4 linked regions of the Caenorhabditis elegans genome follow. The protein of the gene in region 3 purifies or fractionates together with the protein of the main gene of each other region. This does not show direct contact. Each region holds a gene or a part of one and is shown on either strand. Other genes may lie near its edges.

Evidence for each region.
Region 1: the proteins of F07A11.5 (region 3) and sec-24.1 fractionate together in Caenorhabditis elegans (co-fractionation; one large-scale study listed by BioGRID). This does not show direct contact.
Region 2: the proteins of F07A11.5 (region 3) and pcca-1 fractionate together in Caenorhabditis elegans (co-fractionation; one large-scale study listed by BioGRID). This does not show direct contact.
Region 4: the proteins of F07A11.5 (region 3) and zig-12 fractionate together in Caenorhabditis elegans (co-fractionation; one large-scale study listed by BioGRID). This does not show direct contact.

The regions. Positions count from the first base shown.
Region 1 is NC_003282.8:11,559,741-11,568,828, reverse strand, and holds sec-24.1 (Protein transport protein Sec24C), read left to right. Parts: upstream 1-2,634; 5' UTR 2,635-2,637; coding exon 2,638-2,737; intron 2,738-2,780; coding exon 2,781-2,948; intron 2,949-2,992; coding exon 2,993-3,100; intron 3,101-3,143; coding exon 3,144-4,090; intron 4,091-4,141; coding exon 4,142-4,396; intron 4,397-4,448; coding exon 4,449-4,680; intron 4,681-4,730; coding exon 4,731-5,191; intron 5,192-5,241; coding exon 5,242-6,123; intron 6,124-6,169; coding exon 6,170-6,397; 3' UTR 6,398-6,843; downstream 6,844-9,088. Other genes in the region: pold-2 (putative DNA polymerase delta small subunit), read left to right, coding at 6,997-7,075, 7,121-7,210, 7,256-7,689, 8,650-9,088.
Region 2 is NC_003284.9:7,655,674-7,663,794, forward strand, and holds pcca-1 (Propionyl-CoA carboxylase alpha chain, mitochondrial), read right to left. Parts: upstream 5,314-8,121; 5' UTR 5,306-5,313; coding exon 5,229-5,305; intron 5,177-5,228; coding exon 5,082-5,176; intron 5,032-5,081; coding exon 4,832-5,031; intron 4,091-4,831; coding exon 3,440-4,090; intron 3,393-3,439; coding exon 3,105-3,392; intron 3,050-3,104; coding exon 2,345-3,049; intron 2,291-2,344; coding exon 2,132-2,290; 3' UTR 1,839-2,131; downstream 1-1,838. Other genes in the region: F27D9.12 (RING-type domain-containing protein), read right to left, coding at 743-858, 1,165-1,291; dhs-29 (NADP-retinol dehydrogenase), read right to left, coding at 6,323-6,425, 6,468-6,640, 6,733-6,901, 7,385-7,563, 7,609-7,696, 7,747-7,853. UniProt on the Caenorhabditis elegans protein: This is one of the 2 subunits of the biotin-dependent propionyl-CoA carboxylase (PCC), a mitochondrial enzyme involved in the catabolism of odd chain fatty acids, branched-chain amino acids isoleucine, threonine, methionine, and valine and other metabolites.
Region 3 is NC_003280.10:11,609,275-11,616,149, reverse strand, and holds F07A11.5 (Ribokinase), read right to left. Parts: upstream 3,851-6,875; 5' UTR 3,814-3,850; coding exon 3,755-3,813; intron 3,691-3,754; coding exon 3,431-3,690; intron 2,822-3,430; coding exon 2,565-2,821; intron 2,480-2,564; coding exon 2,368-2,479; intron 2,312-2,367; coding exon 2,235-2,311; intron 2,001-2,234; coding exon 1,821-2,000; 3' UTR 1,759-1,820; downstream 1-1,758. Other genes in the region: din-1 (Daf-12-interacting protein 1), read left to right, coding at 28-197, 250-354, 804-908; F07A11.4 (ubiquitinyl hydrolase 1), read right to left, coding at 4,844-4,892, 5,661-5,887, 5,933-6,054, 6,218-6,875.
Region 4 is NC_003284.9:8,760,955-8,767,861, reverse strand, and holds zig-12 (Ig-like domain-containing protein), read right to left. Parts: upstream 3,956-6,907; 5' UTR 3,954-3,955; coding exon 3,888-3,953; intron 3,842-3,887; coding exon 3,707-3,841; intron 2,926-3,706; coding exon 2,835-2,925; intron 2,788-2,834; coding exon 2,675-2,787; intron 2,530-2,674; exon of another isoform or gene 2,384-2,529; intron 2,001-2,383; coding exon 1,812-2,000; 3' UTR 1,582-1,811; downstream 1-1,581. Other genes in the region: M02D8.5 (CUB_2 domain-containing protein), read left to right, coding at 6,310-6,437.

The sequences.
Region 1 (9,088 bases), on a different chromosome or scaffold from region 3:
AAACGTATGTTTGCCGTAATTAACAAGCGCATTCGACGACTAGAGGTGCGTGCGCGCTCCGCCGAGCCTTTCCAAGGTCTGTAAACACGGATTGGAGCGATAGAGCGGTCAAGACTAGAGAGACGTAGGTGGTTAGACACATGTTCTTCCCGAATGAAGAAGAATCTCCAAAAAAGACCGGTCCGGAAAGAAAATCTATGAAGCTATTCCAATTCCCATCACTGAATCCATGAACATGGTGGAGGGCTGAGAAGTCAAGCGTGACCGGCAGAAGGACATGGAGATCCGGTGCCTATCGACTAGCCACAACTGGTGAGCGTCGAAGAAGAGAAGATGTTGTGATGAAATTCGAGATTGTCAGCGATAATCGAGAGACTAGGTCAAGTAGTGGAAACGCAGAGAAAGGGGGAGACGATGACGTGGATGCTCTTTAATACAGGTTGAAATAAAGAAAGAAAGAAAGAATAGACTGAAAACATATGAATAAAAACATTATAAATGTCGAAGGAGACAATATGAAAACATGTAGGGAGCGGATGATGGACGGTATTCTAATAGTAATAGTAAACGAATAAAAGAACGATGTGAATCGGGTCAAAACCAAATTAGTTTCGAGTGTCCTTCTGAAGAGGCTAAGGGATTCAAAAGCGGATTTCATGATGATGCGATTACATCTGATCCTACAGTATTTTATACTTTAACTCCATGTGTCACTGTAAAATATCGAGAAACTTGAGAGCAGTGTTGTCTCGATTTACTGAATATATCAGTAAAAATGAATAGAATATTTCTAAATATTGCGAAAAAACTGATAAATTGTGCTTCAATTTATAAAACAAAAACTCAATTAATTCAGCCGGAAATGTCGAAACTAGGTCAATAAAATTCTCTGATTAAAAAACCTATTTTAAAAATTAGAAAAATGCTATGATATTTTACGAGTCGTATTCAGTATAACGATACTGGGTTTGAAATTTAAATAATAAATAAAACCCACAAATTGATCAAAATAATTTCAATGCTTTCAAGTTCATAACTCAAAATTGTCATTAAAAATCGGGTAAGTAAAATAAATGCGGATTTGTATAATTCATGACCGACAAAATAAGGATAAAACTTATTAGCATCATAATGGATGTGTTGAGCGGCGGATGCGGGCGGCACACACTCAAAAGAAGTAAAAGAACATGCATTGTTTATCCGCGGCTCATTCGTCATAACAAGCTCTAATAAAGTAATAAATACCTAATGGACGTGAATAGAACGAAGGAAAAGGACCAAAAAAGGATATGTGACACCTGACGCAAGTGTTCTCTACCGATTTCACTTCGCTTCTGATACACAATTACATTATTTTAGCATCGTGCCTGGGAAATGAAGTCTTTAGGGAATCGTAAAATTTAAACCATCCGTCGTTCTGCACTAATTGATCAAAAGTGAAAGGGCAAGGGAAATTCAGCTAACGAAGCCGAATTTATTTGTCAAACTGAAGCTTAAAAGCATTTTTTGAAAAAACTATAAGCACAAAATAATATTTCTTACAAGTATATTCAATAGAGTTCGAAATTAAACATTCGTGAGGGATGTTCAATCGTCTTTTTATCCGATGGGTAGTACCTGACAGTAACAATAATAACTTAACCTTGAGACCATAAGTGGCAGACGGTGAAAGGATTCGAAGCGCCTAATTGCCATTGGAATCGGGTCATTTGTGTTACTAATGTTCCGGGATACAAAAAAACAGTGAAACGTGTAGACACCCTGATATCAATATTTATAGGAACAAAGTTGAAACTGATACATTTTCTTGAGGGTTTGAGTGGGCCGAAAGATTGCAAAAAAAAAGTCAAAAAGTGAGCGAGTGACTAATGTAAATGGAAACTGTACAAACATACTGAATAGGGAGGGAAGAGGTCAGAATAAAAGAAAACTCTTTCCTATTGTTGCCAGTAATGGACGGTGAGATCCAGAAAAACAGAGAAGGGCGGTGCGGTTTGAATACGAAATACGGAAAACGAGAAAGGGATTGAGAAACAGCTGGCGATCTATACCACAATTAGCATAAATAATAAGAACCTCATTAATGAATATCGTGAGGAAATTTTTTTTTTTTGAAACCTTACTTTGAATATAAATGTGTTTAGCCAAATTTTTGTAATTTTGAGCACACAAAAACGTGCATCGATATTATTAATAAGGTCTATTATCACATCTAGTTGGAGTTTAGAAGGATTTCCCGAATTAAACTGAACAAGCAGTACTAGCGGGTAATATTCTATTCAAAACCTACAGAATCCTGATTCAAATAGTAATTTTTAATCGCCTAGGTGTAATCTAAATAATTATCAACATTTCCATTTACGGAAACAAAGAAAAAAGAAAAAAAAACAACAAAACAAAAAATTAAAATTCAAAAAGTGCCGAAATGAAGAGAGACAGCTGTTGCCTGAAGAGACGCAGCACGCTGGGTCTCGCAGCGATTTGCCCACCGCGACGTTTGCGTACACGGTGGATCGCGCTGTGACATGGAACTTTACAGCAAAATCAACGTTCTTTTCGGGATTTAATTAATTTCTAGCTCGATTTCTAGCTTTTTTATTTTGAAAAATATAAAATAATCTTTATACTTGTTCCAGGATGTCATATCAGCCGCCACCAAACGGGCAAATGCCCGGATATCCTCAACAGCAATTTAACCAACAGCCGCAGTTTCAGTCAAACGGATTTCCCCCTCCAGGTGAGTTTATATGAACATTTGCATAATACAACAATTGTTTTAGCAGCGCCGCAAAAGCCAGCTCAAGTCCCAGGTGGATTTCCTCCACCCCATCAGCAACCAAATGGACAGTATCAAAATGGAGGCTTAAATGGAAATTCGTCTCACTTGGCACAATCTGTGAATAATATGTCTATTGGAGCTAGATCAACTCCGTCAGCACAACCCCCAAGTGAGTTGCTTTTTTTTCGCTAATCCGTTAAGTTTAATTTTAAGATCCGTACCAGCCAGCAGGATATCCCGGAGCTCCACCACAGCAATTGCAACAAGTACAGAGACAGCAAACTCCTCAACAGTTCGCCGCTGTACCTCAAAGTGTTCAAGGTAAATAGTGTTTATAGAGGCAAAGCTAAAACTTCTATTTTAGCTCCTAGTGCCACACCTGCAGGTCCACTTCAAGCAATGCAACAAGCGCCTGCTCCGACTCCGGGAATTCCGCAAATGAACCAAGGAGCTCATCTGCCGCCACAACCACATCAGATCCATCAACCCACTCCGCTTCGACCACAAATCCCTGGTTTTCCACAGGCAGGCGGCTCTCCAAGTTCGTTCCAAGCTGGAGCACCCACTTCACAAAATGTTCAAGGCTACCCAGGTGGACCATCTTCTGCTCCTAGCGCTTACCCAGGTGCTCCACAAGTGCCTCAAGCGCCCAATTCGTTCATCCCACCTGGCACAGGAGGATTTCCACCAGGACAACCCACAGCGGGCTCGTTTCCACCCGGTCCACAAGTTCCAGGATCATATCCCTCTGGCCCAGCAGATATTCCACAAGGCCCAGGCATGCCAAGAGCATTTCCTCCGGGAGCCTCAGCTCCAGTTGCACCAGGGATGCCAGGAGCATTCCCTCCAGGACAAGGAGGACCAGGAATGCCGGGATCATTTCCCCCGGGAGCCCCAGGCCCAGGAGGACCAGGAATGCCAGGATCATTCGCTCCAGGAGCTCCAGGCCCAGGAGGTCCCGGCGGATATCCCTCAGGAGGTCCAGGTATGCCGGGAATGCAAGGTGGATACCCCGGCGGCCCACCACAGCAACGACAACAACGTCTTGATCCTAATATGATGCCAAGTGCTGTTCAAGTTATTGATGATGATTCGTCGACTCGTAGCGGGATCTTCCCAACTGGATATCCGAACGCTGAATTGCCGCCACTTGTTTCTACAAATTCTTTCGCTCAAGATCAAGGAAACTGCAACCCCAAATTTATGAGATCAACCCTCTACACAGCTCCACAGACTAATGACATTTTGAAAGCATCGCAGATTCCGCTCGCCGTTGTCATTTCGCCATTCGCATCTCTGACTGAATATGAGGTTTTTTTTTTAATTTTTCAAAAATGAATAATCAATTATTTTCAATTTCAGAAAGAACCACCAGTCGTCGATCTGGGACCACAAGGACCGATTCGTTGCCAGCGTTGTAAGGCATACATTTGTCCGTTTATGGAATTCCAAGATGGTGGACGCTCCTTCCGTTGTCCATTTTGCCATGCTCGAACTTCTGTCGAAGATGCTTATTTCGCCCATCTCGATCATACAGGCAGAAGAACTGATATTGAAATGCGTCCAGAACTCTGTCTTGGAGCGTATGATCTCGTAGCTACAAAACAATACTGCAAGGTACGTAATTAAAAAAATCGCAATTTTCAAAAATTCTAAGTGACATTTTTAGAATGGAATCGCGCCAAAAGAACCGGCCTTCATATTTATGATTGATGTATCCTACAATGCTATTTCAAACGGAATGCTTCCAATTCTTTGTCAAAATCTGGAGAAAGTACTTCGAAATTTGCCAAGAGAATCTGGACAGCTCGAGTCGTCTATGCGTATAGGATTGGCTACATTCGATCAGGCGGTTCATTTCTTTGACATTTCGTCGGCATCTCCAAAAATGCTCGTAATGTGTAAGTTTGATAAACTTATAAAAATTTGTCTAAATATGTACTGTTTTTAGCTGATGTTCAAGAGCCATTTGTTCCTATGGTCGATGGACTTCTTCTCCCTTACAACGAGGCACTTCCTGGACTTCGTGCCGCATTGGCTGAAATTCCTAAACTCTTTTCGCAGTCGAAAACCACCGAAACCATTCTTCAACCCGTCGTACAAGCCGGTCTTGACGCTTTGAAGTGTGCCGACAGAGCAGGAAAAGTGATTCTGTTTTCAACTGTTCTACCAACATATGATGCACCGGGAAAGCTGAAATCCAAAAATGATCGATCTCTTCTCGGGACAGATAAAGAAAAGAATGCACTGGTTCCACAAGAAGATTCATACACGAAGTTGGGAGAGCAATGTGTCAAGTCAGGAGTTACTGTCGATTTATTCCTCTTCCCAAATGCTTTCATTGATGTTGCCACAATTGGTCAGCTTTCTGCAGTTACGGGAGGATCTATTTTCAAATTTCAGTATTTCTCGGTAAATTTAAAGAAAAACCAATAATTTTATTAATTTTATTTTTATTTCAGGCCGATAAAGACGGTGTTCGCATGTTGAATGAGTTGGAACGACACGTTTCTAAGAAAATTGCATTCGACTGCATGGCAAGAGTAAGAACGTCTACAGGAATTCGTCCTATCACTTTTACTGGCTCCTTTTACATGGAAAACTCAACGGATTTGGAATTGGCTACATTGGATGAAAGCAAAGCATTCATCACAGAAATCAAACATGATGATAGTCTGAAAGATCCAGCTTCCTTCATTCAAACCGCTGTACTGTATACGTCGATGACTGGACAGCGCCGTTTGCGAATTTTGAACTTATGCCTTCCAGTTACTGCTGATTACAACCAAGTTTACCGACTTGCTGATCCGGAAGCATTGACAGCATTCATGTTGAAGCAAGCTGTTCAATTGAATCGTGACAAGGGAAGCTCAGAAATGAGAGAATCACTTTCTTCTCGTTGTGCACAATTCCTAGCGACCTATCGAGAGAAGTGTAGTGAAGGTGCCCCACTTGGACAACTGATTCTTCCTGAATCTCTGAAATTGATGCCGCTCTATGTGAACTCTATTTTGAAAAATGATGCGATCAGTGGAGGAAGTGAAATGACAGTCGACGACAAAGTGTGGCAGATGGAATTGATCCGTGGGCTACGAACTGAAAATGTCATGCCTCTTATTTATCCAAGAGTTATGCCAATCTCTGATCTACAAATCAATGATACTGAAGAAATGAAGGATCTTCCAAAACCTGTTAGAGCGAGTTCTGAGTTCCTGGAAAATTCGAAAGCCTATATTATTGATAACGGTGTTATTCTGTTTGTCTGGGTTGGCTCTGCATGCCCCCAGACATGGGTTCAAGACGTGTTTGGTGTTGGTGCTACAAATCAAATTGATACCGAGAGTGTAAGTTATCAATTGCTACGTTCAATTAGTCAATTACATTTTTCAGGGAACAATTCCGGAAAAAGACAATGGTCATTCACGTGCTCTTCGTCGTGCAATTCAACTTTTGCCACGTGGGATCCGAGAGCGAAAAACGTTCGTTGTCGTGGAAAAAAGCGGCCTTGAGCCATGGATGAAGAAATTTTTAGTGGAAGACAAGGCTGGTCCTGCTAATATGTCATACGTTGATTACCTTGTGGATATCCATCGCAAAATCCGCGATCTCATTTCCTAAGTCGTTGATACTGTGATAGAATTGCTTCTCTTGATTGTTCCCTTTGTTCTTCCTTCATATTATTTTGATCACGCCAAAGCAAATCTTGTGATTAGAAATGTTGGAAGAATTAATATTTTGTACCGGTTTCTTTGTACACATTCATTTCCTTCCCTCTCGCCGTACTATTTTCTTTTAATATTATGGAGCATGGTTTGTAAAAATTAAGATATTAGCTTTCCTAGCACCTTATCAGTGCAAAAATAGAATTTGTTTTATCTGCTTTTTCCCAGATTCCTAATTTATTCTTTTCCAGTTGCTCTCGCGACTTTTAGAGATTTCTATTTATTGTTCCTTTTTTTGTAAAATATCCCCTATTACCCCGTCCATATAATTTATTGTGATTTGAAATGGGATCGAATGTGTTTAATTTGATGGTGTCTTATGAAAATAAAATGTTTTTGATTAAACATTTGAGAATCGAATATGTTGACTTTGTGAATATTATATTTTTGAAATTCACTTCGGTGTAATGTTAACGCGCTCTAACGCAATTTGCCGCGAAATTTCAACATTGACAAATTTGCCTTCTTGAATTGATTTTTTTCTTTATTTTAAGAATGGAAACCGCTTGGTCCAACATCCTAAACTATAAGAATGTCTCAGATCGATACATTCTCACTGAAAAAGATAAAAAAGGTATTTATATTTTGCTCTAAGCTTTAAAAAGTTATTTTCTTTCAGGTGCGTTCACTAGACAGTACTTTGAAGTCTACGAAGCTCGCTTGAAGGAACTGAAACCTCGTATTTTGGAAAATGCAGAACGTGAAATTGGTTAGAATTATAATATTACTAATAAACCTTAATTTTTATCTTCAGGCAAGGGAAAATTCACGCATTCACAATTGAGCGATGCTAAACAAGACGAGGAAATCTTCGTGGTCGGCGTTATTGTAAAGAGAATAGCTGCAAGACCATCAATTTTGAAATCGTTGCTCAACGAGGATAAAGTGGCTTATGATGATTATGAAGAAGATGCCGAAGAAGACGAAGTGAAAAGATACGCTGGAAGCATTGAAGATCGAATCGAATTGGAATCAGATAAACAGACAGTACGTCTGGAAGGAAATATTTCAATGGATGAGTGTGCAACTGGTTGTTGTGTTGGAGTTCTTGGAAAATTAGGAAAAGAAGGAGTATTTCATGTGAATCGTTTGGTTTGGCCATCTGTAAAAGTTCCAAAGAAAGTGGCTGTCGACGGGACTATCGCTTTCGTCAGTGGACTCGATCTAACTGGAGATTTGGAAGACGATGTGAGTATTAATTCTGTAACTTGAATACTATTCCAACTTTAAAATTGTGCTCCAAAACTACGGTACACGATCTCGAAGCGACCGATTTTTGTTAATACAAAAGAGTGCGCCTTTAAAGAGTACTGTAGTTCCCAACTCCTCGTTGTTGCAGATTTTTCATTAATTCGTCAAAATTTGAAAAACATTTTCACATGTTTTTCAATAAATTTCAAAGAAACGGATGAAAAATCGAAGAAAATCTACAGAAGTTCGGAACTACAGTAATCTTTAAAGGCGCATAATCTTTTGTTTTCTGTTTTTTTGTCTAATTTAAATCGAAAAACAACCAAATTACACCTTTTCTCGGATATTTTAATCTAAGTATTTCCACTTAATCCCGGACTTCTGAATGAAATCTATGCCATTTGAAAGAGCATCTTTTAAATAGGCCCCTACAAAAATTTAGCAGCAGAGGACCACTTTGATCTGGAAAAAAGTCTCCCTGAAAAATGTTCAGTGCATTTTTCCACAACTTTCGAGGTCTGTGAATGGCTCCAAATGTGAATTTTTGTAGATTTTTGATGATTTCTAAGATTTTCAGGGGCAGGCAAACATTCAAAATTTGTTTTGGAATTTTTTCGATTTTTTGAATCCATGTCCATTGCGAAATTTCAGATTTTTTTCAAAAATTTTTAAACATTCCCAAAAACAAAATCTGAATGTTTACCGGCCGTGAACATCTTAGAAATCATCAAAAATCTACAAAAATTCACATTTGTAGCCATTTTACGGACCTCGAAAGTTGTGAAAAAAAATGCATTGAAAAATTTTCAGAGCGACCTTTTCCAGTTCAAAGTGCTCATCCGCCGCTAAATTTTTTATAGGGGTCTTCTTAGAAGATGCTCTTTCAAATGGAATAAGTTCCATTCAGAAGATTCATATTTCCATGGTTTTCTCGAAACTACAAAATCATGATTTCAGCGACTCACAATCTCTGGTCTTGAATTTATGGCTGATTGGATGAATGTTCAAGTTGGAAATGAGAATCAATGTCCACCGATTGATCGTCTTGTAGTTATTGGTCCACTGGTTGAAACAAAATCAAATGGTTGTGATGTTCAGTCAGTCGTTCGAACACTTACTCTTTCACGTGCAGAGAAACATTCTTCAACAGCATCACTAATTACTGTAGACAAAATTATTAATTCAATTGCTGAAAAACCTCTTGTTAACACTGTCGACGTGACTCCTGGTGTTGGTGATCCATGCTCATCGATGTGGCCACTGCCACCTATTCACAGAGTTTGTCTTCCACGTTGTGGAATGAGTGATAAAAAAGTGAATCTTGTGACAAATCCATATGAATTTGAAGTCAATGGACTACGTGTGATGACAATGTCTGGCGAAAACGTGAGCGAGC
Region 2 (8,121 bases), on a different chromosome or scaffold from region 3:
TCTTTTCCGCGTGATGCCGCGCGTGAAAGAAAAGGGGAGACCTCCTTGCTCATTGACCACTGCTCAGAAATGTTGACGCCAGTTTGGCTTCGTTCCGCTGAACAGAATGAAAACGAAAGGCGATGGAAGGGTTGTGCAATAATCAATGTTTATTAAATTGCGTCGGCGAATTTCAACGCAGGCCCCCTTTGACCACAACATTTTCTTTTCAGCTGCCAGGAAAATGGATCAGCTGATGGAGAATAATGAATGATGAAAAGTTTCTTAGGGCTTACAAATTCCATAATGATAAAATGTTGAAATGTAAATAGTTAAAAAAAAACAAACATAAACAAATTATTACGTAATTTTTGATGTTAAAGTCTGAAATATATAGCTGAAAGTTTACAAAGGTGGTACCTTCGTTCATGGTACCGCCTCCTACAACAACAAAAATCCTTTTGGGCTCCGACAATAGTTTTATGTTTCTGACTAGTACGAAACAACTTGAATGGAACAGACGTTCACGAGAACTTCAATTTTGGGAGTTCTGATTTAGTAATGCAAGGATAATATGTGAAAGAAGAACTCCCTACGATTTTGAATACGATATTTAGCTCAAAATAGTTTCAACAAAGTCCACCGTTTAGCTTTTCTCTTCAAGTATAGAATTCCACGTGACAGAAAAATCTGTATTATTGTATTAAAACAGTGATACACAGAAGATGCACATATAAGAACACATTTTCATTTTCAATTACAGTCAATTCATTCTATTAGCTTCAATATTCACCCTGCTCCTCAAATCTTTGAAGATGCGCTCAATCTCGTATATTGTCACGTTGCAAATCAAACAATTGGTTCGTCGAGCAATTAATACTGAAAACAAAACAAGCATTCATCATATAAAACAATTTGGGTTAGAGTGTAGAACATACTGAGTCATGACAAAACCCTTTTCATTTGTTGATCCTATTTTCATCTTTAAAAAAATAACAAGACTAAATACTATAATACAACAAACTTCTCTTTTTAATTTGAAATCAATTTAACACATATTGGAAAGGGACGGGTCTCACCCACTTTTTCGAAAAAGTTAGATTTAAACTGTTTAAAACTTCAACTAGCACTTCGTTTTATTGATAATCAAGCTTCAACTCAAAAAAAAATCAAATCTATACTTACAATAAAAACATGCAACACAATTGTGTTCGCATGATGGTGGGCTCCTCCGTTCATGCATAAATTCAAGGCAGGCTGTGCAACAGTTCTCTTCCCCGTCTTCGTATCTACTTATACCGATACTAGACATCTTACAGATCTGAAAGTGCTACAAGTAAGTTTTATTAAAATATTGACATTATTTATTTTCTCAACTAGAAGTTAACAGAATTTAACAATATCAGTGTGACACTACTCACACGAAACCAAAAAACGTGAGTTAAAATGAGATTGAAAAGAACAGAAAACGGCAAAAAAAACTGGAAGAAAAATTCTTCTTTTTCTTCTTCCCATCATTTTCTGTTTCATCTTCTCGTCTCAACTCGTCTTTTTGTCAATTTTCTTTCAGAATAATCAATTGGCACTGCTATTCAATATTTTGAAATTGAGATACATGAAAGAAGAACATAAAAAAGAGAAATCTGAAATTTTTAAAACAGATTTGCAAACTGACAAGTTTTTTCACAACGCTTATTTCCGAGCTTCAATTATGGACTATGGTAAAATGTTTAGTTTACACAAGCTATTTCACAAAAAATAGAAAATTTAATCAACAAAACATCTGCACTTATGTTATGTAGAAACAGAATAGATATATAATTTTCTAATTGAAAAGTTCAAAAAATGAGCAAATGCTTTTTTTTCTTCATATAACAACCTTTTTGCAATGCCTTCTACAATATTTATTCACTACATAATACTTGGGGCAACAAAACAGGGTGGTGGCTGAGAAATACGTCCGTGATGATTGGAATACAACAGGTGAGGGTAATGGCATCAAAAATAAAATATAAATATGGCTTGAAATTTGAGAAACTGCGAATGAAATTATCAATCTCCATACCAGATAGTGGCGGCTTTGAATTGTACAAAATTAGGAAAAAAACGGTAATTAAAACAACAAAAAAAATTCAGGTTCAGTGAGAATAATCTACTCGAGCTCAACGAGCACCTCTCCCTCGTCGACTGTGGCTCCAACCTTCACATTGACGGCCTTGACGCGTCCGGTCTTTCCAGCATGAAGACTGTTCTGCATCTTCATAGCCTCCATGACAACTAACTCTTGTCCCTCGGAAACCATATCTCCTGGCTGTAAATTGAATCAGTTTTAGCACATCTAATGGTAGTGATAAAATAATGTTACCTTAACGTTGACGTTCTTGATTGCTCCTGGCATTGGTGAGAGCACAACTGTGGACAAGTCAACCTTGGCCTTCTCCTTCATGTACTGCAAGTACTTGACGGCCTGCTCTGGAAGCACCTTGACCTTGAATGGAGTTCCCTTGTAAAGAACGGTGATCTCTCCGGCGCGCTTGCCAACAATTTGGGTGGTGATGTGCTCTCCATCGACTTCAATTGAGTTGACTGGATGAGACAAGTTGAGATCTCCACTGATAGTCACAGTCTTTCCACCAATACGAACTTGGGCCTTGTTGGCGCTTCCTTCGACAAATTCGACTTCAACAGCGTGCTCGGTTGGCCTCTCACCCTCCTTCACTGGCAGAGAAGACACGAACTTGTAGGTCTTCGAGAAGGAAGCCACATGAGTGCTACGTTGTTTGTTCTGGTTCAAGAATTGATTGGCACGAGCAAGTTTACGAGCGTTGAGAGCCGAGGCAAAGGCAATGACAACGTCTTGCTCTTTTGGTGAGAGGCTGGTTCCCTGGAAGCCTTCTGGGTACACTTCTGGAAGATATTTGGTGGTAATGTCTCCAGTACGGAATCTCTTCTCTTGGACAATATCACGAAGAAGTGGAATGTTGTGAGTGACTCCACGAATGACGTAGTTGTCGAGAGCCTCTTGCATGCGGTTCAGAGCCTGTTCACGGTTGTCTCCGTGCGTAACGAGCTGAAATTACAAAGTAAGTCACTTGAAATTATCTAAATGCTAATTTATCCTTTACCTTGCAGATAAGTGGATCGTAGTAGATAGAGATTTCCGATCCCTCACGGATTCCAGAGTCGCAACGAACTCCGTCGACGTGTTTTGGCTCAACATATCTGGAGAGACGTCCGACTGATGGAAGACCGAATCCCTTGTATGGATCCTCGGCGTAGACACGAGACTCGAAAGCCCATCCGTTGAGTGGCACTTGCTCTTGGGTGATTGGAAGTGGGTGACCGTAGGAAACGCGAAGCATCTGTTGGACAATATCGATTCCAGTGATGCACTCGGTAATTGGATGCTCGACCTGTGAGTATTTAAAAATTAAACATTTAGGCCATACTGAGATATTACCTGAAGACGAGTGTTCATCTCCAAGAAGTAGAAGTTTCTCTGAGAATCAACGAGGAATTCGACGGTTCCAGCAGAGTCATAACCGACAGCCTTGGCGAGCTGAACGGCCTGTTCTCCCATTTTGCGTCTCATCTCTGGTGGCACAAAGCTGCTTGGAGCCTCTTCGATAACCTTCTGGTTTCTTCTCTGAATGGAGCATTCACGCTCGTTGAGCCACAAAGCGTTTCCATGCTTGTCGCAGAGCACCTGCATCTCAATGTGCCGTGGGTTGTCAATGAACTTCTCAACGAGCATTCGATCATCTCCGAAAGAAGAAGCTGCTTCTTGCTTGGACAAACGGTATCCTTCACGAGCTTGCTTGTCGTTCCAGGCAACTCGCATTCCTTTTCCACCACCACCGGCAGAAGCCTTGATCATGACTGGGTATCCAATGTCGCGGGAGACTTTCACGCACATATCCTCATCAGCAATTTCTCCGTCATATCCTGGAATCATGCTGACACGGGCTGCGGTAGCGATTTTCTTTGAATGAATCTTGTCTCCCATATCAAGAATAGCCTTAGAGTTTGGTCCGATGAACTTGGCTCCAGCCTTCTCAAGCTCGGCGGCAAACTTGGTGTTCTCGGAAAGGAATCCATATCCTGGATGAACCTGCAAATATATGTTTTCAACGTTTTTAGCAGTTCTGTTTGAAAAACATAACAGAAGACACTTGCAATCTATCTCTCGTCATTTGACTTTGACTATTTGAAAATGAAACACGCGAGATGCTAGAGACTGGAAAGAGACCACTTGGTCACTTGTCACAGAATTTTTGTTTTGTTGTGTTTCGTAGTGAAAGTAGGTGAATATCACGTGCATATTACAAGTAACTGGTTTCTAATATATTACGGTAAATCTTAAGCTGCTACACAGCCAAAAGCTCTCGCTCGGGTTGTCAAACTGTTTGACCCTAGCTTGTCCTCTGAAAAATGCGGTAATTCGTGCTTTTCATAATTTGACCTCACCACAGTTTTCAACAGGCCATAAGAGGGAACTCTAGAGCTTCATCACTTCAAACCCTCATATCTCAGCCAGGTGATATGAGCATGAAAAAATTGAGCATTATCAAAATGTAGGGAATGTTTTATTTCACATTTTTTCAGTCAGCAACTTTTTTAAGCTATTCTCTCCGTTTGAAGTTAAGCGCGAACGCTCTGACTTCTTGAACAGTAGTAGTTGATTTGGAGCGGTGTTCTGAACTTTTGCAAAAACTCTATTCTCTGTCGGATGTCTGGGTAATATGTTTGTGCTACTGTGCATGTAGATTCATGCCACAGAATTTACATTCTCCTCTGATATTTGATTTTTGCGGTTTATCCTTCCATTACATAGACACGTTAGAATTCTTACCGCTTGAGCACCGGTGTCCTCGACAGCTTGCAAGATGCGGTCAGCACGTAGGTAGGATTTGGCAGTTGGAGCTTCTCCAACACATACAGCCTCATCGGCCATCTTTACGTGAAGCGAGTTGCTGTCGACATCTGAGTGAACGGCCACTGTCTTGATTCCCATAGCTCTGGCAGTTTTGATCACGCGACACGCAATCTCTCCTGTAAAATAGACGATTAAATCTAAGATTCTTTTAGATGCTTGAGATTACCTCTATTGGCAATCAAAATCTTGTCGAACTTTGGCTCATTGTAATCGATTCCTACAGTAGTGTAAATCTCCTTTCCCTCACGTTCATCAAGTGGTCTGAAATTGAACCTATTGATCTCAAAACCGAATACAACTTTCAGAAACTTACACTCCTGGTCTGGCAACAGCAGCAGTTGCCAATCCACGATTGGCCACAGCGCGGATACTGGATGCAGCACGGAGCATGGTTCAACCTAAAAACAATGATTTTCATGATAAAATGAACAACGACATCAGCAGTTCACAAAAGAAAAAAGTAAGATGATGGAGAAAAACAGTTTCGTGTATAACTTCGATGGAGAAAGATAAGGACGACCGATTTGATTTGGTCAGTTAAGTGATAAACAGCGATGCCTTGAAAACTCTCTTTATATTGATTATGAAGGAAAACTTCGACTAGTAGAAAAAATAAGAAAAACATGCAGAAATGGCAACTGAGCAACGAAGTAAATAGCCTGGCCAGAAAAGAGAAAAGCAAGAAGTGCGGTGCCCTTGTCCCGCAACAAGATTTTCACAAAAGTTGTCTATCTCTCTTTTCTGATGGACCCAAAGCGCAGTTGCCCCGCTCTCTCTCTTTGCCCATTTCTTGCGATTTTGCACGTATTCGTCCTCTGAACACACACACGCAGAGAAACCGAGAAAATCACCGGGATAGGTTGAGAGTTGGAAAGACGACCTCACAATGTTACAATGAAGAACTTCGAATATAATTCATAGTCCAGTCTGCACGTTTTCTATAATTTTTGAACCGAGAGTCCTACAAAAACTAATAATTTTACAAAAAACGTGTATGCGTGAAACGGAAAATCTAAAGACTCACACAGTAAGTACACTCAATACACAAAAAAAAACGGCAAAATCACCAAAAACAGGGAAGAAAAAAGCCGACCTTCTCTGGCAACAGCGAAGGCAAGAATGACCTGCTCATTGACCACTACATGATCAATAAAACAACAAAAAACAGTCCAATAATGCGCGGGGTTGTCCAAGATATCTCACACAGCAACCTCAACGGAGCGCGTTTGCAGTGATCTTCTCTGCGTCTTTGCACACACTGGCCTTTCTCTCGACATGTTGTTTATTTGAGAATGTTTCGTTGAGTTTCTTCATTTTATTTGATAATAAATGGTCGTTCATTGCATTGGCAAAAAAAAACAAAATTAATACATTTTAGGAACTATCAGACACATTTTCAACTACTAGTCAATTATTCTTCCTCTGCTTGGCTTCGTATCGACTGAGAATAGAGAGTGACGGGAAACCAAGAATAAACGTTTGGACAACCCATTTTGCGGTAGAAGCAAAACTGAAAATACAATTTGTTATAAAATCAACTGAAAAAGTTCACCTGATATTGGCTTTATGGCAGAGATAAAGAGCGTAAAGAGCTTCACCGGCGTGTGCTACAAGGGCGAAAAGGTTGGTTAAAAGAGCAACAAATGGATACTCAGTTCCAATCTTATGGACGAGAGATCCAATTAATGGAATATTAAGTGCTGCTGCTGGATGGGCGTAAGAAATCTAAAAATCAAAGATATAGATCGAAGTGGAAGCTTTGAAATATCTATTTTTATCAAACATAGTTTTTTTTCACTTGAAACCTTAAAACTTACGTAGTTGATAGCCAGAGCTGGAACAATGAGGAGCCACCAGAAGAGTTGTGGAGTTTTGTAATAGTCCGACATTTCAATAAGTGTCAGTTTGCAAAATGATGGATCTGAAGCGGAATACTTAACACCCAAATAATTACGAAGCGACCGGCACACTTGAAGAGAGCAGAAACTGAAATAAAAAATTAGATTTTATCATGTTATCATTAGTTGGCTATATTCTACATAGTGTACGAGAATCAAAAAGTAAGTGGAGATGAATAGTTGGTTTCTTTTTTTTTTGATTCTCTCAAACGATAGAAGAAGGGGTGTCTTCGTGTAATAGAGGAGATACTATCTGAATCAATAAGGACACCAATGGTGACCTCAATAATAGAGCGTGTAAAGACAAACTAGACGCAGACAGAAAAACAATTCGGGCAGCTCTTTTTGCGAATACGAAAAGTTGTACAGTTCTCAAAAAAATAATAATAAGACGCGAAAACAGGGCATTGATTTTTAATTTTTCGCCATTTTAATAAGTAGCACATGAATATTGACACTTAAAAAGTACTTTAATTATTTTTAAATATGCCGATTTCATCTACAATTCAAAACAAATGTTCTTAATAAAAATTCACCATGGAAACCAAAATAACGAAACCGAGAAACTTACTTTTTCACAAAAGGGATGAGTGTGATGTACGAGGGAACAAAAGCGTGCACTTTTTCTTTCAAAATAGAATCTACCATTCTTTTCGAGCAAGACCGAATGCTCATGAACGGGAACCATGTACATGTAGGTCTCATATTATTTTCCAAAATCATTGGGGTTCTTGCAAAATATGGGTAGAGCTGAAAACGAGAATATCTCTAGCCAATAATTTAGCAACAACCAACCGTAGTTGTTTTGATACCCTCTAATCCGCGATCTCTGAGCTCCATTTGTAAGGATTCCATAGCTCCGCGAACCGCAAATTTGCTAGTGCTGAAGTAACTGTTAAAGTTTAAAACAAAAACTTTGGAACATTAAATTACCAGTAAGAAAGTCCCATCGTTTCACCAGACCACCCAGCAATTGAGCAAACGCAAACAATGTGTCCGTCGTTCTTGGTTTCCATTTTTGGGAGGAAAGCTCGAATTGTCTGATACGATAAAAATTAAAAATAGAAAACACGTGGTACTAATTCAGTGTCCGTACCAAATTTTATAAAAAACCAAACTTCGACTCCAAACATGTTCTGATACGTAAATGTTTTTCAACGAGTACAAAGAATAATATCTTGATTTGTTTATTGAAGTATGTTTTGAAACACAAATAAAGTTCAATTAAACTCATTTGGTCTGTCGAAAATATATATTTTTTTTGTTTTTCAATTTTTTAAGTTCTCAAAAAAAATTTTTTGACTAGTT
Region 3 (6,875 bases):
TTTTTTAATCAAAATGCTAAATTTCAGACATCTACCGAATTCTCACGAATCCCGAGTACGCTTGCTGTCTTGCACTTTCGTCGGTCAACAATATCGAGAACCTGAAGGAAAATGATACCAATTTGAAATCCCACTTCATCGACTACCTTATCAATAAGAAGATCGCTGGGATTTCGAGTCTTGGAGAAGTCGAGACGGTAAGTTTTGGAAATTTTATTGGACTGGAATCAATAACTGTTGTCATTTCAGAAGTTCAAAAGTGCCCGGGTCCACGTTTTCGCACCAGGCGAGATTGTCAACCGATATCTGTCCGAGTTGGCCACCTCGTTGCATGACTACCTTCAGAACACTGACGTGAGTTTTTTTGAAATTTTTTTTGGCCTTGTGGTGTTCCACTAGGATTTGATTCTAGCCACTTTATGGATTTTGGGAGTGTGAGATTTGTGCGATGCATTTCCAAAATCCCATTTTTATCTTTGTTGGGTCGAAATGTTTTTCAGAAAATTTACATAGAAATATAGAGAAATATTTTTTCTTTTTGAGTATAATTTTTCTTATATAATTAAATATTTTTAAAGTTGCTCAAAAGAGCCTCAAATATCGATGAGCCAATCAACACATTTCCTGGGCTCAGTTTCGACTTTGAGGCGGTTTTGAAGCAACTTCACGAAATTTTCAATTGAAAGTAAAATTATTTTCAAAAAGTACAAATATTTGTCTATTTTTGTATAGAAATTTCCAAAGAATAACCCAGATTTCTACCTGACTTTGCCTAATTCTTACCTAATTTTTCCAATTTTCAGACCCGCTACCTGCTGATAGTGTTCACCAACGACAAGGCTGACCCGAACATGACTGGGCCACCATCTGTAGCATCACTCGCCGTTCCACCAGTAAGCAGTACCTAATCAGGAAGAGCCTTATTTCCTCTGCCAAATTCAACCAACCCAAAATCTACTGTCGATTCTCAACCTATGTGCAATCTTGTCAAAAAAAAGTATATATCTATTTCTCTCGCCCGTTTATTTATTCCGCTATTCATATAACATGTATGTTTTACCCGATTGACTCAGACTTGTGTTTTAATTTGAATTATGGGTTTTAATTTTTTTAACTTAACAAAAAGACAAATTCGGTACCATTAAAGTTTTATCTCTTCCCCCGCCACTGTATATTTATTCCCCACCCAACCTTATTTATCTACTTTAACGGACTATTCCCCCGGTTTATATCTCATTTTCTTCATTCCGCCGGAAGGATTTCTGTCTTTTTGGCACACCGCTTTCTCAATTTTCCTCCCTACTAGACACTAATTCAAGTCTCTCATGAAAATAGCGGATCAGTTTTCGTAAAATGTTAGTTTAAGACCTCCCCCCCCCCCCCCGTCCCATCTACTATTTAAACATTTTCCAATTTGTCGTCATTCTTATATTATTTAATTCATCATTCTTGTCTTTCGTCTGTATTTTTATCGGAGAAGCTCTCGACTCGCTCGAAAAACGAAAACAATGAAATAATTGAATTTACGCAAATTTCTTTATACACAATGACTATGCGATTCTGGAAATTAAATTTTCAGCATTTAAATTTGTTGAAAAGGAAAATAACAAAACGGGAAAGAAATTCATTATAGGAGAATTGTGTTATTTTGGAACAAACATTAACATTAAACGGTAAATTTCCAAATTTTCAAAAAATTCAGGCTCCCTGCAATGTTCAACAGCTAATTAAAACATATTGAAAGTATAAAATGTGTTTGGAAAGCAGAATTTTTATTTCAGACCTAATCACAAATTTCTTGAAAGACACTGTAATAAGTTTTAAGGCAAGAATTCCGGGTATTGTTGGCGAATCTCGTCGAGCTTCCAATAACTCGATTGAGTTCCATGACGTGTCACAGAAAGTGCGGCCAAGTTGGCAGCCGAGCGTATTGATGCGGAAATCGGATGGCCGGCAACCAAATGAGCAGCCAGTGAACCACAGAAACAGTCACCGGCTCCCTGGAATTTTCAATTAATATTATACCTATATGCAGATTGATCTTGTTCATATTTCCTCCAGGTTACTGTAGAAAACTTGCGCCAAAAATTTTGATTTTGATAAAGTAGTTTTTTAGAGGCCCATGCACAACATTTTTAACTAAAAATAACTAGAAAGGCAACTAATTTCTTTCGTTTCAAAAAATATATTGTGGTGGGACCCAAGCTCGGACAAAATTTATTTTTTAGTATTACCGTAGTATCAACTGCATCGACTTTGATCACGGCGGTATGCTCAACATCATCGACTCCTTTGGATGCAAGCAGGACACCTACAATTCAAAAAAAAATTTATTGTTTCAAATTATCCCAGTGTAAGTCCCCCAACCTTTGCCTCCGAGAGTTATGATCGCATGTTGAGGTCCCATTTTGAGCATTGCACGTGCTGCTTTTTCAGCGTCTTTCACGTTGTTTTGAGCGATTCCAGTGATGAATTCCGCCTGGAAAGTTGAAATTTAATTTATTTTTTGTTCAGAACAATATTTGGAAAAGTTCAATTGATTAGAAAAAATAACATAGACCTACTTCATTCTCATTGGTACAAATAATATCAACCAGCTCGAGAATCGTCTTATCCATATTCGGATCCCCAGGAGCTGGATTTAAAAAAGTGGTGACTCCGTGACTTCTAGCAATTTCGAAGGCTCTTCTATTTCCTTTTTCGTCAATTTCTCCCTGACAAATGACCATTTTCGAGCCAGCAATTTTTGAAGAGTTCGCATCAGCGATTTCAGGCGACATTTCAAGATTTGCACCCAGCGTCACCACAATGTTGTTTTCGCCTGGAAATTTTGGAATTTGGATTTGAAATAATGTAAGTCTCATGTAAATCTGAAAATCAAGAAAATTTAATTTTTCGAATTTACCATATTTTAATAGTTTTACACCTCAATTGCACTGTAACAAATCGAACTTTTCATGTCTGTAGATGCTATTTGAAATATTTTTTCTACATATGTCAAATTCCAATTTTCTACTAGATGCATCACATTTTGAGCTCACTTTTTGAGTCTAAAAATTTGTAATTCTCCTTACCCTCTCTCCCCCACTTCTTACTATTAGTTCCAGTTCAAAGTTATTTGTTTGTCGTCGTCACTGAAGGTTCTTCGAAATAATAAGTTATTTATATTACGTCACCAAAAAAATGGGGGAAAAAGAAAGAGAAAATAGATTCTATGAACGTAGACAAATCGTTTTCAGAACAAAATTAGAATTTCAGTGATCTACGAGCTATAAGAACAGATATAGCTATAGGAACTTATTCTTAACCCGGTTGGCAATTTTTTCTTAGAGGTAGGGTCTTGCTACAAATATTGAATGTTTCTTCAAGACATTCAAGAGGCCACACATAATCTTAAATATTTTTTTCCCGCCAAAACTCGGATACAAACCTTCTTTGTTAACAGTGATAGTCGCTGTGGCGGTATGTGTCTTTTTGGTCCGTCCCACACAACTTGTATCAACTCCATTGCTGCTCAAATCCTTAATATTAGAATCTCCGAACATATCTTCTCCAACCATTCCAATCATTGAGACATTGATCCCTAGGCGAGCCGCAGCAACTGCCTGATTGGCGCCTTTTCCGCCGGAGCCCAGCTTGAAATTGTGACCGCGCACCGACTCTCCAGGTCTTGGGAAACTATCTGTGTAGCTGGAAATTGGTAGTTTATAATGTAAAATTGTTTAATGAAAGATAAAATTTAAAAAAAACAGACCTGACAAGATCCTGAACGATACTTCCGAAAACCACGATTTTCTGGTTTTCACTTGACATAACGATATGCTTTTTTTTTAATTTAGAAAATTCTGAAATAAAAAAATAAAAATGCGATTGATAGCACGTGTCAAATAATCAAAGAAACACAAAAAAGAGAAGAGAGAAAGAGAATCAGGTGGTTAGCTTGTTGAGGGCAAAAACTGTTTGCCAACAAATTTGGCAGCTGGTCAGTTATGGTAAGAGAATAAGACACACGTAGTATTATTTTCCAGAAATTTTTTAGGTGGCTAAAAATGCCTGCCTGCCTCATGCCTACACTCTACTGAAAGGAAACATGTTAGTCCTCTTGAAAGCGAAGCAAATAATTTGTAGGCAGGCACGTAGGCCCGTTCGCATGAAGAACCTACAATGATGACAGACCCTATAATTCCTAGAAAAAGCTTTCAAAAACCAAAAGCAAATTTTAAAAAAAGCAAAAAAATTTTTTTTGAAGGTTCCCAAACAGATAATGTTCCCATTTTAAACCATTCAGGTCAGATAAAATTGTGATCAAAAATTAATTGTTTTGGTTATTTTTTTGATCTTTAAAAATTTTCACTGACAGTGATTTTATGTGAAAAAAAAACAAAACAATGGCGTCATATATCACGGGCCAAAATTCAGAAATCAGGCGATAGGCAGGCACGTAGGCCTGCAAAATGGCACGTGAATGGCCTCAAAATGCATTGAACTAAAAACAGATAATATTTGGAACTCGTATCTTATCTTTTCCCCTTCTTATCAATTTTCATCGGCTTATCTTGATTTCTTTTTTCTTTTTTTCCTTTGCAGTCAAGGACAGAATTTTAATTTTGAAATTAATTTATTCTCTTCGGGGAACAAAAAAAAAACTGAAACCGGTCTCCGTGGATTCAAACAATTGTTATTTTAATAATCAATAAAATTAGGAAAATTAATGAAAAATATATAAATATTAAATCAAAGATGTAATATCTAAAAACATGGTAACAGGTTTTGAAAGAAATGAAGACAATGAACAACACGTGGAAAAAAAAATTGATGAATTTATGAAAATCTAGAAAAATGACTAAATTTTGACTTCTTCTGGAGCTCCAGGATCACACGAGTAGTGGCGTCTGAAATAAAAAATTGTTCATTGATCGGAATAGGTTACTTTGATAAAAACCCAGCGCGGTGATCATTAAAAATTAAATCATTAAAAAAAAAAAAAAACTCATCAGTTTGAAAATGAACAACTAGTTCCAAAATAAAAAATATTATGGAAAAACTTTCAAAACCTTTTTTGAAATTTTTATTCCAGTGAAAAAGTTCTGAACATTCAGTTTTCAAGCATTACCTTGTAAGTCGGTCAAAATATGTTATCCTGGTTTTTTTTTACTAATTTCGTACTAATTGTTTTTTTCAAATTCTAGGAGCTCGAACCTGCAGGATATCTTAAATAACCACAGAAATTCACAATTTTTTGGCGATTTATGAAATCTTTGCCTAAAAGTTTTGAAAAAACAAGCAAATCACGGTTTCTTATTATTGAAATCCAAAATTTTTATTTAATTTTTTAAAGAAAAATTTAAGAAAAAAATTTTCAATTTGCGTGACCTCGGTCGTGGAACTTATTATTTAGATTTGGAATATATAAATTGTCCAAATCTGAAGCTGAATCAATCAGTTCTCACTTTTATCCAATGCTTACAAATTCAATTATCAATTTGCTTATTACAATAGTGCTTTCTAATCAACTATCATACTATCAATACCGTGCTGGAAACTATCTCAATTATTTGAACGTCTTCGTCTCAAAAAAAGCCGTTCTCAGGATTTATCGATTTTCTTGAATTTCAGGAAATTCTTTCCCAGATTTATAGTTCTTGGGGTTTCCAACTCACTTGAATATACTCCTCGTCACATTCTGATCTCTCATTTTATAGAAGAGTAAGTAAGCATCCTCCGTTTGTAAAGTGCTCGTAGACTGCCGAGCCACCGTCGAATCATCGAAATTCCTCCATTCGATTTTCGTTTTCGACGAATCAAAATCGGCGAGTCGACCCATACTAATATAATGACCGAAGTAACTGTTTCCACTATGGCATACTACTCCCGTTAGATCATACATCTGAAATTTCAATATTTTTTGAAAATAATTACTGTGAATAGTTACCGTTGAATTAGGATGTGGAGATGTTTCTGCTAAAAACGGAGACATATCAAGACTCTCCAATGGATACTCAACTGATCGGGTGTCCTTGCTTCGACGAGCCATTGATGATTGATAAGTGAATGCTGAAAGTCCATACAATAGATTTTTTGAAAAATCGAGAGATTTTTTGAAACTTATGCTTACCTGCCTGCATGCCTACAAAAATTACCTACACCTATTTTTTTAATCAGGTAGGTTCATACGGAGTAATCCCTTCTTATAAGTAAGTTTCCAGAATTATCTCACCTGTATAGACGAATCTCTTCAACTGAATGATCAGAACAGGCGGCAACCTATACAACTGAAGCTTCTTGGTAGCCTCCACATTCTCTTTGCACGTCGAGCAATACCAACTCTCTTCTGGTTTCAACCTCTCAGTTTCCGAGAACAAGTCAAGCATTTGTGTGAGATGTGGATTCGTCTCCGAATTGTTACTCTTCACATAACCATTCATGTTCCTGGAGTTCATTTGTCTACTCTTCTCCACATCTACATCAATATCTTTACGATTTTCAATTGTAATATATGGCTTTCCATTTCTCTGATTGATCCAGTTAACTGACACATATCCTCCTGACTCCAAACTCTGACATGCTTCATCATCGCTAATACTGTGACTGCCAAAGGAATCATTTTGGCCGGATAGTTTCCTAATTTCAAACATTTTCTGATTTTTGGTCCTTGGCTCTGCTGCCACACTTCTTCTTCGTGGAGTTGATGATACACTGGATGAGCTGGATGATTCTCCTGGTGGCTGAAGGAATGTCGGTGGTGCTCCAACTCCATTCCTTTTCTTGATGGACCTAGATGGAGCTTGCAGTGAATCTCCTTCGCTACCTTCACTTTCATATTGAGGCTGTTGGAATAAAGTTACAGTATGCCGACTTTTTGCCTCCAGAACTCT
Region 4 (6,907 bases), on a different chromosome or scaffold from region 3:
TTAAGAAAAATTATTTTTTTTGTAAATAAATTTACAATTTTTGAAAAATTTCAATTTATTAAGATAACTCTTCAAATTGTTACATAAGTTTGGCATGCTGAGGGAAAAATATAACACTCTTTTTACCTTAAAATGTTTAACAGGTCATTTAACCGCAAAACAATAATGTCTTACTAAAGTAAATTATATATATTTTGAAATTATTTTTTACTGTGTAATCTATGTTGAACCGTTCGCCGTAAAATCAAATAATTTTCAATTCAAAACAGGCAGCCGGTTACCAATTTTTTTTTGATTTTCGGGGTTATGTCTTATTAGATTGTTTTCAACTTGATATAAAATTAGATATTAAAATTTGCACACGTAGATTGCAGATTCAAAAGCGGCATTCTCAAAGTGATAGCAAAAATGTTGTTTCAACTGAAGTAGTCTAAATTGGACTAGGTAAACTTTTGCCCGTTGGATGATTTTCAATATTATTTTGTTCTATGGTTTTATTTTGTTAGATAAACACTAGAGTTTACAAAAATTGTTGAAAAACTAAAATGATAAAGCACTATCTACTATCTGCATCACTGAATTACAGCAAAGACACGTATATACAGTGCTGGCCAAAAAGATATCCACTTTCTGTTTTTTGATGATTTCGATATTTTTTCCATTGAGCATAACTCCAAAACTAGGAAAGCTATCAAAAAAAGTTTCAACTGGTAAAATGTAGCTCGTGATCAGGCCTATGTATTTTTACATGATTAAATTATTCACCCAAAACATGGCAAGTGATAAAGCGGCCGACATCTCGTGAGTCCGCTTTTGATGATGATTACTAAAACGACTGTAACTCGAGAAACATATTTTTAATGGAAGGTTTTTAGAAAGTAACACGATGTTTATATAATTTTTTATTGTTTGAACATACTAACTTCGTCCTGAAACCTCCATTGAAAAAGACAAGAGAGTTTAAAGAAGAGAAGTGTAGAGTAATCTCGAGCTCATGTCTCAAAAATAGTAGATTTTTTTTTCTGAATTCTGTTTATTGGTTAATATGTAGTTCAAATATAATAACAACATCAGTTCTTCACAAAAATTGTCGGAAAAAGATTTTCAATCCAAGAAACCTGATTTTTGAACAAAGCCTCTAAACAGTGTCTAATGAGACACTAGTTTCAGCGCACACATTTTTTTAAATGGAGGTTTTAGGACAAAGTTGATATGTTCAAACAATGAAAAATTAAATAAACATTTTGTTACTTTCTCAAACCTTTCATTAAAAATATGTTTCTTGAGTTACAGTCGTTTTAGTAATCATCGTCAAAAACGGACTCACGAGATGCCCGCCGCTTTATTACTTGCCATGTGATGGATGAATAATTGCAACATGTAAAAATACATAGGCCTGATCACGAGCTACATTTTACCAGTTGAAAATTTTTTGGTACCTTTCCTAGTTTTGAAGTTATGCCCATTGGAAAAAATATCGAAATCGTCAAAAAACTGAAAGTGGATATCTTTTTGGCCAGCACTGTATATATATATATTGATTTCTGTACTTGCAAGTATATCTTCTCATGTTCAATGTGTCAAGAAACTTTTTTATTTTGGCTGATACCAATTCATGTGCATGGGACACAAAGTTCAAATTACTTTGAGAAGACAAATACTACAAAACGTTAAAAGTTACAGAAGAAAAAAAAGCGGAAAGTGCAACTACCAAAATCGAAAATCAGAAGCAACGATTAACATGAAAATTGATTTGAGGCTTTATGAATTGAATTGTATGACAATTAAAAACCAAGGGAAAATTTATAAAATTAATCGAAAACCAAGTTCAACGCTTGTTGGTTTTGTCCTTCGGAGTTCTTGACAACGCACTTGTATTTTGCTTCATCGTCTTTTTGTGGTCCGGTGATTTCGAGTAGGAATTGGAATCCGTCTTTGTCCTTATCGTCCTTCTTTACAACAGCCTTAACTCGGTCAGTGAATTTCACTGGTTTTTCATCCTGGAAGAATGAATTAGTGAAAAATATGAAATTTACTTTTTTTCTGTTAATTTAAAAATGATTTATACTAGACGGTCGTTCAGAAAATTTTTTCCAAAACAAGTTTGTTAATTTTATTTATCAAAGCATTCCAAAAAAACTCAAACTTGGTTCCAAGCATGCCCATTGAAATGTTCATTTTTCATTTTTCATTTTACATTTTGAACCAGACAACAAGTGAATTCTTTTAATGTTTATTGAACCTTTTTGCTTTTAGTTTTTTGCGCCATTTCTCTTTTTTGTTCACTACTCAAAACTTCGCTCTATCTGCTCCATGAGCCTCAAGTATCTGTCTCGGCACAACCCAAAGGCGCGGACGAGGAGGCCTCCCAACTTTTGTCTTATTTCCACACTTCTTTACATTACCCATCTCTGCCTTTCTATTTTGAATCCCCTTGAGAAAGCCGGAGAGGTTCACTTCGACTAACATAAATGTGGAAATTAGGACAACTACATTTTTTTCTTCGGTGGAAGAAAGAAGACAAAAGAAAAAAGACACGTCAGTCAGTCGATCCATCTTCGAGAAGCTCTATTCTGGTTCAACCAAAATGAATTTAGCAATGCCAAGAAAAATACCGAATAAGAATTCAGGGAAATTTTTTCCCCTAAGATTCAAAGTAAGGTGACAGACATACCTTGAACCATTCGGCCTTCATCTCAAGGTGGGACTTTGCGCGGACCTTAATCACAATCACATTTCCGTTATCTCTTTGAACAATATGTGGCTTGTCATGGAAGTCTGGGGCGTCTGAAATTGTATGTGTAAGCTTTTAGTGTTTTTGATAATGAGCTCACTTCCTGCTGCGACTGTGAAGTTAGAGCTGTTCTCTCCATCGGCGTTGGCAAAGACGGCTTTGTATTCTCCGGCAAGTGGTTTATCAAAGTCCTATAAAATGATGATTTAAAGAAGCAAAAAGGTGTTTTGTTAACAGTTAAAATTCATAATTCCGATTATTTTTTATCACAGGTAAAGCGGGATTGCTCAGAAGCGGCCCAATGGCAGCTGATAAAATCGTTTTTGTGTTCGGAGTTTTTTTTTAAGCTTAGAAAAACGAAATTTGCGACCGGGGCGGTCGACAATCGGCTTATTGGCTGACATGGAGACAGACCACCGGCGGACATCAGTTTTTTTTTTCAGTCTGCGGCATTTTGGACCGTTGGACAGTTTTTCAGTTGCTTTTCCGTTTTACCAGTAATGTAGCTTATGTGGTTTGTTTTTCAACTACTACTATCATTAGTAACTTTTACAATTATAGTTCCTAATGTGAAGTTCAAACTGCACGGCTTTTTTTAATGTTTACTGAATTTTCAAAATTACAGTTCACGTTATTGATGTATATTTAATGTGAGATACGAAAAAAATAAAGAATATAGTAAAGTAAAAAGTATTTTGTAATGATGAATGTACTTAGAGTTTCCTTTTGATCAAATGCTTAACCGTTGTTATGTTTTGCTTTTCACCTCCCGACCGACAGCTAATTCTGCTTTTGCCGCACTTTTGCCCAAAATCTACGGTAAGTCCATCAAAAACCAATTAAACGCAGATCAAAACACATACAGACAACAGTTGCAGAGCGCATCGCAGCAATGGGACCATAAAATGACTCGTGAGTCGTTTTATGTGATTTATACGAGATGCTTTGGCAAACAGTTGCTCTCAAACTGACCTTGATTTCGGCAACAAACTTGGTGCGGTTGCCTCCTTCGTCACTGTTTGAGAACTTCAGGAACTCGTTCTCCTCAAGCTCGTCTGGTCCGAAAAACCACTGAATCTTAGAAACATCAGCTCCAGTGACGATGACCTGGAAGAAAACTTAGCAATTTTCAAAAGGAAAAGCAAATTCGTACCTCAAGGAACACCGACCCGTTCTCTGATCTAATTTTTGGTTCTCCGTAAATTGATGGTGGTGCCATATCTGAAAAAATTAAAATCTGTAGTTTTATGATTGAATACGAAGCCATGAATATACGGAATCTCGGTAACCTAAAGTTTTACACACTAAAAGAAAAGAGGGGCGTGTTTTCTGATCAGGTAAGAGCGCCGCCAAGAGCGAATGAAAAATGATCTGCCAATGTGTTTTTACCATCATTTATCCATTGAGTTCACAGGAAAATAGGAGACGAAAGACTTCTTGAACGGTAGTTCGTAGTGGCTTTTGGGTGGGAGAACTAAGCAAACAATGTTTTATGTTCTCAATGAACAAGCACAAGTAGGGGAATGTTGGAGAAGATCTAGACAAGATGTGTCAACAGTATTTTGAGGGAAAACACTTTATAATGCTGAGAAAAAAAAGAAAAAGGCAAAAAGACCAATGGTTGAAGGTTGAAAAATGCTTCGAAAATTGAATCACTGGTTTTTTGTACATATAACAGTTGATTTTAGTCATGTTTTTTGTGCATTGAGATCAGCACTCAAGAATAAATTTAAAAAAAACAAATTTGAGAGGAGAACAAAAAATATGAAGAGGAGAAAAATGATGTCTCGCTTGTAGTTTCCAACTGACAAAAGTGCCAAGAGGTCGCTGTTAGAGTCCCATTTTCCCTTTATCTTTTTCTCTGTTTCACGAAGGTGTTGTAATTTCTACTTCTTCTGCTGCTAAGCTCTTTCTCCGCCTCCTGGTCGCTAGTCGGAGAACGAAACGACGAAAAAAGATGGGAAAGATGAATGTCCCGGGAGCCCCCCGGAGCTGCCCACAGATTTTGCGGAGGAGGAGAAAGGTGGATGGGATGGCACTTCCCACCTAACTCTTCATTTCTCGTCGACGTTGAAGATCCCAAAATTTTTACAAAGTTCTCAATGAAGAGCTGCAGGGCGAAGGCAAAGTTGACGAGACACGCTTCACAAAGGATATTTGAGAGTATTTTGAAATCGGAATCAATGAGCAATTTGGGAACGGATGGAAATGACGTCGCTGGTTGTTGTATGAGTATTAAGGATTTCAAAAGTTGTTAAATGAAAATGCCACTTTGAAACTGAGCAACTCGAAAGCAATGGATTTATAGACCTGTCACAATAGGACGATCATGATGTGCACATTTTTGCAAATCGCGGCGTGCGCATTGTGCATGGTTTCATTGATGATATCTGCATTGTACGTTCATAATGTCAATTCTTCGCGGTTCTTTATGACCACATTGCAATTCAACTATGTAGGTTTAGCATTGGGTCAAAGAACAATTTAGTTGATTGGCCTCATCTTACAATAAGCTGCATAATTTCCTATTTAGAAAGAAACCAGAGAATAAGCTACCAGACTTGGCCGAATAGAGCAATGTGGAAAACGATATAGGACACTTAAATGCCCCAGTCGCGTTAAAAATTAAAATATATTGCCTTTCTAGGTCTCAAAATGAGATGAATCCCAAAAATGGTAAAAACATAAGCTGACAATTTTTCAGTTAAAAACAAATTATTTTATAATAAACTTATATGAACCAAACTGTTTTCATTCTTACTTTTTTCTATCCAACACCTTGTAAGTTTTCCATATTGTAATTCAGCAGTGGAACTCCACATTCAATCTGAAAATCATGTATCAAAAGATCAAATATTATGTTTCAGAGAGTTCAAAGAGTAAGAGTGATATTGTATAAAGATGCCGAGAGTGTGTGTAATTTGAAACTTCGGTACGTCAGGGAATACCTTTCTCAAATTATTTTTCAAGTGTGTAATTCAAATATTTTCGCATGAAAAATATTTTGTAGGAGCAAGAGATACAAAAGATAGAGAAAAGAATCACTTTGTTGTGGTTTGCTTTATTTTTCTTTCTTCAATTTCAGATCGAAATTTTGTAGATTGCACTTTGTTTAAGTTGCTTCCAGTCACTGGGTAGAAGCCGATCTCATTTTTCCCATATCTTCAACACTTCAAAGGTACCATTGGAAAATAATTGGATGACGCACTCGTCTGAGACATCTGGATTTCTAATGGCTTACACTTTCTCATCCTTCATTTTTTGTTTCAACGTTAAACTACATCGAATTTGAGATCTGAAGCAGAAAATCATAAAAATTAATGATGGAATTTCAAATAAACTTCGAAATTTAAGTATTGTTTGTTATCTTCAATGTGAGCAAAAAATTCAATTTAAACAATTCAATTAAAAATATAATTCTTATTCAAAAAAAAACATCAGTAAATATAACAATGTAACAAAGAGAAAAATCGTTAAAAGTTTGTGAGCATAGAAACATTTTCAATCAACACGATGTGCGGTTTTCCTATCAGTACTGTCATTTTTTAACTGTTCGTGGTTGGCTGGCAACACAAATGTATACAAAACTAAATTTGATTCCTTTATTTTTCATCATTTTTTTCCGGACCTCAGTTGCTTTTCAAGATGGTATCTTGTTTTCCACACCTAATTTTCCACAACCATACACTGGACAATTATCAGAGTAAGTATTTTCAACACAAGATCTTATTACTTAGTTACACAAAAAACACCTCTACCTCCGCCACATGAACTTGATAGACCAAACATTTTTGCGAAAGTCCATCAATTATCATAAATTGATGAGATATTTTTCGGAACTGATATCCGTTTCTCTAGTCAGCAGCTATTCGTTTTGTGATAATAGTGGTGTGCAGTCTCGATTGAAAATACATTCCTGCGGAGAGACTTTGTCACGTTCGATGCCAGTGATTAGGTTATTGATGAGTGATTGTTGGTAAAGTGCAAAGCACATTTTTCACAGGGGGAATAACAAAACGGTCTACAACAATTTTCTCTGAACTTGTAATTCAAAACCCTGGGGATCCGGATGGTTTTCATCGAACGAAATGAACTTGAGAGGTCATATTTCAAAAACGTATAAAAAAGTATCGGTACTTGTGGATTATGTCCTCGGACTAAAAATTTGTTTAT